2 linked regions of the Saccharomyces cerevisiae S288C genome follow. The protein of the gene in region 1 interacts with the protein of each later gene in a biochemical or structural test. Each region holds a gene or a part of one and is shown in the gene's direction. Other genes may lie near its edges.

Region 1 (2,545 bases):
GATTTGAGTCAGTACAAAAAGAAAACAACAATTTTTCATTAGGTAAAAGGGCAATATCAAGGATACCACCATATTTTTTTACTTTCGCATCTGTAGTTGATATATTTTGCTCTTCGTGTTCATGGTGATGATGATGATGGTGGTGATGATCAGGCTTGAAAATTCTTGTAAGTTTAGCATCTTCATAACTGGATAAGTTTGCTCTCATAACATTGCCCTGAGAGTCACCAAAATACAACTTATCAAGGCTCGTTCCTTGGACACACCATATGGAAGAATCCCAGGACCAAGATCCAATTTTTTTGGGAAGCTGAAGGGCACCAGTAGTCTGATCATGCCTACAATTCAAGTCCCATACATTTATTACACCATCTGAGCTGGTACTGATTAGTCGTGTGGAGTCATCAAGAGTTCTTACTACTTTTATATTTGTTCTGTGGGCGTTTTGAATTCTTATCACCTCCTTACGATATTTACACGAATAAAAAATCAAATCACCATTACAGTCTCCGGCAACAAAATCAAAGGGACGAGACGTTTGATTGTCATCAAAACTGTATTTTGGGATGATGGGACTCATGGAGTATATTGAGCCTGTGTCGTTTGATTGTGCATTATCAAATGTGTGTAGTAGCGTAGCCATTTTTTCTGGCCCGCTGCTCAGGCACCAAAGTTTGATTTTTCTATCTAGACCACCTGTCACAAAAAGAAAGTTGTTCTGTTCATCAACAACAATGCCATTATTTATTCCATCGTGTACATTATCAGGACCACCCTCTTGTTCTTCCAATTCATAGTCATTTGACATTTCATAATGTATGGGCACTATGCACTTGATATAATCGTCGTGGTCACCGATTATTTTCTTATCCCAGGTAGTTAACTGCGCATTCACACTAATTAATACTATCGAAAAATCGTGACTTACTGATATGAATGTGTCCCCTGCAGATGGGTCTGAATTTTTCATATTAACATGTATTAGATCGCTTGCCCAATCGCTATGAACTTGCATTCTTATCGCATCGTTTTTTATGGTAGTTGCAGCAGTCTCAGGCTCGTTCGAGAGCTGTGTGTTCTTGTGCAAAATTATGGAACCATCCCTTCCTGAAGTAAGAAAATAGTTTTTACCAGGTATATCCGGGTACAGAATCTTTGTTATCGGTAAGATGTGCGCATCTTGGGAAGTGCAGTAATCTGGGGAAATTAGGCCATAACTCACTGTCAACTGATTCATTATTACCTTTCTATTTTCTCCGGCTTTTTATTGGCTTGCTCTTCTAAAGTCAGAAAAGCGTAGATTTGCTAGAATGTATCGTTTCCTCGTTAGGAATGGCTTGAACTAATTCCTGTATCTATGCAATTGCAATCCAACTACACTTATACGACGTCAAAAGGAAGGGGCGGAGCGTTCTAATTGTAGTTGCAAAAAGCGATGTAGTCGTTCTTCAAGTAGTAATTAATACCAGGATAGGACACGGTGTTATGGTGCTGGTAGTTACTTGTTATAATGTTATTATTGGGCAAAAAGAGAGTTCACTGTTTAACAATAGCAATGGGGTTTTTTTCAGTATACATTTGAACTGCAATGGAATTTGGGCGGAGGGAGCAGTAAAGGGGCGATCAGAGTTGAAAAAAAAATGCTGCCGTAAAAAAAGCATGCACGTATACACTTGAGTAAATATATTTATGTATTCATATCTCAAGATAAGATCATGATACATAAAAGCGATATAACGTCTTGAAGCTCAGGTAAGGGGCTAGTAGATGCAATGAATGACGATGAAGATAGAGCCCAACTGAAGGCTAGGCTGTGGATCCGTGTGGAAGAACGATTACAACAGGTGTTGTCCTCTGAGGACATAAAATACACACCGAGATTCATCAACTCATTGCTGGAGTTAGCATATCTACAATTGGGTGAAATGGGGAGCGATTTGCAGGCATTTGCTCGGCATGCCGGTAGAGGTGTGGTCAATAAGAGCGACCTCATGCTATACCTGAGAAAGCAACCTGACCTACAGGAAAGAGTTACTCAAGAATAAGAATTTTCGTTTTAAAACCTAAGAGTCACTTTAAAATTTGTATACACTTATTTTTTTTATAACTTATTTAATAATAAAAATCATAAATCATAAGAAATTCGCTTATTTAGAAGTGTCAACAACGTATCTACCAACGATTTGACCCTTTTCCATCTTTTCGTAAATTTCTGGCAAGGTAGACAAGCCGACAACCTTGATTGGAGACTTGACCAAACCTCTGGCGAAGAAGTCCAAAGCTTCTCTGGTGTCAGCTCTGTTACCGACGTAAGAACCAACAATAGAGATGGACTTGACGACTTGGTTGAAGACATCAGAACAACACTTGGCACCAGCTGGCATACCGACCAAAACGGTGGTACCGTTAGCTCTAACGTATCTGGTAGAAGCTTCAATAGCGGCTTCGGAAACGGAAACGTTGATGACACCGTGAGCACCACCGTCAGTGGCCTTTAGAACAGCACCGACAATGTCCTTTTCCTTAGTGAAGTCAATGAAGACTT
Region 2 (6,013 bases), 100 kb from region 1:
AGTCGAGCTTCGGAGGAGGTCTTAGTGTCCACTCCAAATGACACAGAACACGTCTACAGAAAGACATCTCTAGGTTCTAAGATAAAGAGAGGTTTTACTAGAATATTGAGCGACAGTAATAATAGTAAGGAAATTCTCACTTTATCACCCAAATCTATGGTGACTACGGGGCCTACAGAATTGTCGTTTTCCTCTTTATCAACCGTGGGAGGACATCCGACAACGCCAGTCTCAAAAGAAAATGATCGAGTTTCAATAGATGGCGTGAGTACATTTAATCGAGCATCAACATCTCTTCCAGAATCATCAACAGACGACATCTCTCCACTACGCGAAGAAGGTAAGATTAATGTTCCTAAAAGAACGTCAAGTAGAAAGATACTGTCTAAAAATTCAAGCAAAAAAAATGTACTGCCTGAACAGCAAACAAAGCCAAGTGAAATATATCTGGATAAAGAAGCCTTACAAAGTTTTGTTCCCGTACTCTCTGTCACAGAGGGTACTCATCGCATCAATCGCTCGTCGTTACAAACGCAATCTACCATCGGATTATGCATTACCAATTTAAGAAACAAAGAAGGCATGAAGCTCAATGCCAAGGAATACGTGGAAATCCTGGCTCAGCAGCAACGCAAGGAAGATGAAAGGTATGCTGTTTTGGAAAGAAAATTTGCATCTTGTAGATGGTGCAGTGATAAGGACCTGCAGTATTTGAAAAAGAAACGAATTTCCATGAATAAGATATGGTCTGATTATGTCCGATTTTACCGTGGAAAGTTGAACAACCCATGAAGGAAAAAGGTCTTGGCTATATATAACGGCAGACAAAATATAAGTATACACGTATATATGGTGGTAAACACGCATATACTGTATGCCATGTATTTACCATTACATAGTTATTTACGCACTCTATAAAAAGTTAACATTGCATTTTAATAAATTCCTTAAATTACTCTAATTAGGATGGTAGCCCTACCTTTTTTTTTTTTGGCACACATGGTCAACTTTTCTTCTCATGCTTTAAAAGGCGAGAAAAAATGAAAATTAGCAAAATGACCTTTCCCTCCTTCCCACATTGAATATATACACTGGAAGATATAAGCAACCAGTACTGTAGATAAAAAAGATCACTACGATATTCGTCGGACTCCAGTCGGAGTGCAGTGCCCGATTACTCTTAATTGCACGCATCGTGCCAAGTTTAATTGGTATTGCTCGAACATCTAGGAATAAGAGAAGGACTTACTTTAGAATGATGAAAGAGGTAGCAATTTGCAGCAGATTTTTCGTGATTGAATCAAACAAAGATTAACCTTTACAGAACCGCTACACTGATACTAATGTAAGAAACATTTCCTTTATTTTTTTTCTAGCCCGTAGTGTACTCTTATAGTTTTGATATTTCCTTTCTATCTTTGTAAATGTAAATAATCACATTTGTCTGACAACACACTTGTTGCCACTAATTATTTCAACAAGCTGGCATAGCTGATCTTATTAATCTTGTAGACCGTTCAGGATGACTGGGCTATATTATGGCGTTAACTTTCGCGTTGGATTACCTTTTTATGCGATGACAAGATGCCGATAATAGGTATTTACTTTCACAAGTACGTGTACGCAATTCTAAAGGAAGTATATCAAATAAAAGGGCGTGGTACATAAAAGCTATATCCCTAGCATGACCAGTCTAATAGATTTGGGCAGATATGTTGAAAGAACGCATCATGGAGAAGATACAGAGCCAAGATCGAAAAGGGTAAAAATCGCAAAACCTGACTTGTCTTCCTTCCAACCAGGCAGCATTATTAAGATCCGTTTACAGGATTTTGTTACTTACACTTTAACCGAATTCAATCTTTCACCGTCTTTAAATATGATCATTGGGCCAAACGGATCTGGAAAATCTACTTTCGTATGCGCAGTGTGTTTAGGATTGGCTGGTAAACCCGAGTATATTGGTAGGAGTAAAAAAGTGGAAGATTTCATCAAAAATGGTCAAGATGTTTCAAAAATTGAAATCACCTTGAAAAATTCACCAAATGTTACTGATATTGAATACATAGACGCACGTGATGAAACAATAAAGATTACCAGGATTATTACGAGATCCAAGAGGAGATCGGATTATCTAATAAATGACTACCAGGTATCTGAGAGTGTAGTTAAAACTTTAGTTGCTCAGCTGAACATTCAGTTGGATAATCTTTGTCAATTTTTATCTCAAGAGCGTGTTGAGGAGTTTGCTCGCTTGAAGTCAGTTAAATTATTAGTAGAGACTATAAGGTCAATCGATGCAAGCTTATTGGATGTGTTGGATGAACTAAGGGAATTACAAGGAAATGAGCAAAGCTTGCAAAAAGATCTCGATTTTAAAAAAGCTAAAATTGTTCATTTGAGACAAGAAAGTGATAAACTACGTAAATCAGTTGAATCTTTACGAGATTTTCAAAATAAGAAGGGTGAAATCGAGTTACACTCCCAACTATTACCTTATGTGAAAGTAAAGGACCATAAAGAAAAGCTAAACATATATAAAGAAGAATACGAACGAGCGAAAGCGAACTTAAGGGCTATACTGAAGGATAAAAAACCATTTGCAAATACTAAGAAGACTTTGGAAAATCAGGTGGAAGAGTTAACAGAGAAGTGTTCCCTAAAAACTGATGAGTTCCTGAAAGCAAAAGAAAAGATCAACGAAATCTTCGAAAAATTAAATACTATTAGGGATGAGGTCATCAAAAAGAAAAACCAGAACGAATATTATAGAGGAAGAACCAAAAAACTACAGGCCACCATTATTAGTACAAAGGAAGATTTTCTAAGGAGTCAGGAAATATTAGCACAAACACATCTTCCTGAGAAAAGCGTATTTGAAGATATAGACATTAAAAGAAAGGAAATTATTAATAAAGAAGGCGAAATTAGGGATCTTATTTCCGAAATTGATGCGAAGGCGAACGCTATTAATCATGAGATGAGAAGCATACAGAGACAAGCTGAAAGCAAGACCAAATCCCTTACAACAACTGATAAAATCGGTATCTTAAATCAGGACCAGGATTTAAAGGAGGTCCGTGATGCTGTGTTGATGGTTAGAGAGCATCCAGAAATGAAAGATAAAATTCTAGAACCGCCAATAATGACCGTGTCTGCCATTAACGCTCAATTTGCTGCATATTTAGCACAATGTGTGGATTATAATACGAGTAAAGCCTTGACTGTTGTTGATTCTGATTCTTACAAGCTATTTGCAAATCCAATTCTTGACAAATTCAAGGTTAATTTGAGAGAACTCTCCAGTGCAGACACCACCCCTCCTGTACCAGCGGAAACGGTGAGGGACCTGGGATTTGAGGGTTATCTATCCGATTTTATTACCGGTGATAAGAGGGTTATGAAAATGCTTTGTCAAACTAGCAAAATTCATACTATACCGGTATCAAGAAGGGAATTGACGCCTGCTCAGATAAAGAAGTTGATTACACCAAGACCGAATGGGAAAATTCTTTTTAAAAGGATTATTCATGGGAATAGGTTAGTCGATATCAAGCAATCAGCATATGGTAGTAAGCAGGTCTTTCCTACTGACGTTAGTATTAAACAAACTAATTTTTATCAGGGATCAATCATGTCAAATGAGCAGAAAATTAGAATTGAAAATGAAATTATCAACTTAAAGAATGAATACAACGATCGAAAATCTACGTTAGATGCATTGTCAAACCAGAAAAGTGGTTATAGGCACGAATTATCTGAGTTGGCGTCAAAAAACGACGATATTAATAGGGAAGCTCATCAATTAAATGAGATTCGCAAGAAGTACACTATGAGAAAAAGTACAATAGAGACTTTAAGAGAGAAATTAGATCAACTGAAACGTGAAGCTAGAAAGGACGTATCTCAAAAGATTAAAGATATTGATGATCAGATCCAACAACTATTACTCAAGCAAAGACATTTGCTGTCTAAAATGGCCTCTTCAATGAAGAGTTTAAAGAATTGTCAGAAGGAGTTAATAAGTACTCAAATCCTTCAATTTGAAGCCCAAAATATGGATGTTTCTATGAATGACGTAATTGGTTTTTTCAATGAGAGGGAAGCTGATTTGAAGAGCCAATATGAAGACAAGAAAAAGTTCGTAAAAGAAATGAGAGACACTCCTGAATTTCAATCATGGATGAGAGAAATCAGGTCTTATGACCAAGACACTAAGGAAAAATTGAATAAAGTGGCAGAAAAATACGAGGAGGAAGGGAATTTCAATCTGTCATTCGTTCAGGATGTTCTCGATAAATTAGAATCGGAGATAGCTATGGTAAACCACGACGAGTCAGCCGTAACAATTTTGGATCAAGTCACAGCCGAACTGAGAGAGTTGGAGCACACGGTTCCTCAGCAGTCGAAAGACTTGGAGACCATTAAAGCTAAATTAAAAGAAGATCACGCAGTTTTGGAGCCCAAATTAGATGATATTGTATCAAAAATCTCTGCAAGATTTGCGCGCTTATTCAACAATGTTGGGAGTGCTGGTGCGGTTCGTCTAGAAAAGCCGAAGGACTATGCTGAATGGAAGATAGAAATCATGGTAAAATTCAGAGATAATGCACCTTTAAAAAAGTTAGATTCCCACACGCAATCAGGTGGTGAAAGAGCTGTTTCTACAGTTCTTTACATGATTGCTTTGCAAGAGTTTACCTCTGCACCATTTAGAGTGGTTGATGAAATCAATCAAGGTATGGACTCTAGAAATGAAAGGATCGTTCATAAAGCTATGGTGGAGAACGCGTGTGCCGAAAACACTTCTCAATATTTTTTAATCACTCCAAAATTATTGACTGGCTTGCATTATCATGAAAAGATGAGAATACACTGTGTCATGGCTGGTTCTTGGATTCCAAACCCTTCTGAGGATCCGAAGATGATACATTTCGGTGAAACTTCTAACTACTCATTCGATTAATCTTTCACTATTGCATAATTAATTATACACATATAGATGTAAACATGTTTATAACCAAGACGTTTGGTCTCATCTAGCAAAAATGTCTTCTAGTGTCAGCTGTCTTACCTCACAAATGTAAGGCTTCACCAAATAAAGAACTAATTAAATAGAACGCGCTTAAGAAAAGCTGCAATAATTAATTTCTTATATTAAATTCGAGGCACCAAAGCAAGCAACCGCTACATGACAAAAATCTAATCTGGTACAGAAGAACTATAAAATAACAATATGATCATGTTGAGAATACCGACACGGTCTTATTGTTCACCTTCGAAGCTAATAAAGGGCGTAGGTCTCTCACCATTGAAGAAATCTCTGTTATCCAAGAAAATAAAGGAAGATATCCATCCTTCTTTACCTGTTAGAACTAGGTTTGCGCCTTCTCCAACTGGGTTTTTACACTTGGGGTCACTGAGAACAGCCCTTTACAATTACCTATTAGCAAGAAACACCAATGGGCAGTTTTTGCTTCGTTTAGAAGATACAGACCAGAAGAGGCTAATAGAGGGAGCAGAAGAAAACATCTACGAGATTCTGAAATGGTGTAACATAAACTACGATGAAACCCCTATAAAGCAAAGTGAAAGGAAACTAATATATGACAAATATGTAAAAATATTACTATCTTCTGGGAAGGCGTATAGATGTTTTTGTTCAAAGGAGCGATTGAACGATTTGAGACACTCTGCAATGGAATTGAAACCTCCTTCGATGGCAAGCTATGATCGATGTTGTGCACACTTAGGGGAGGAAGAAATAAAATCTAAGCTAGCGCAAGGTATACCTTTCACTGTGCGGTTTAAATCGCCAGAACGATATCCAACGTTTACTGATCTTTTACATGGACAAATAAATCTTCAACCGCAAGTAAACTTTAACGATAAACGGTACGATGACCTTATCCTTGTTAAGTCGGATAAGTTGCCAACCTATCATCTGGCAAATGTTGTGGATGACCATTTGATGGGAATAACCCATGTTATAAGAGGTGAGGAATGGCTGCCC

Evidence for each region.
Region 2: the proteins of MHF1 (region 1) and SMC5 form a complex in vitro, tested with the Saccharomyces cerevisiae proteins (one study listed by BioGRID).

The regions. Positions count from the first base shown.
Region 1 is NC_001147.6:157,401-159,945, forward strand, and holds MHF1 (Mhf1p), read left to right. Parts: upstream 1-1,772; coding exon 1,773-2,045; downstream 2,046-2,545. Other genes in the region: DUF1 (Duf1p), read right to left, coding at 1-1,237; alcohol dehydrogenase ADH1, read right to left, coding at 2,148-2,545. UniProt on the Saccharomyces cerevisiae protein: dsDNA-binding component of a FANCM-MHF complex involved in DNA damage repair and genome maintenance. FANCM-MHF promotes gene conversion at blocked replication forks, probably by reversal of the stalled fork.
Region 2 is NC_001147.6:258,239-264,251, forward strand, and holds SMC5 (DNA repair ATPase SMC5), read left to right. Parts: upstream 1-1,684; coding exon 1,685-4,966; downstream 4,967-6,013. Other genes in the region: YOL036W (uncharacterized protein), read left to right, coding at 1-792; glutamate--tRNA ligase MSE1, read left to right, coding at 5,237-6,013.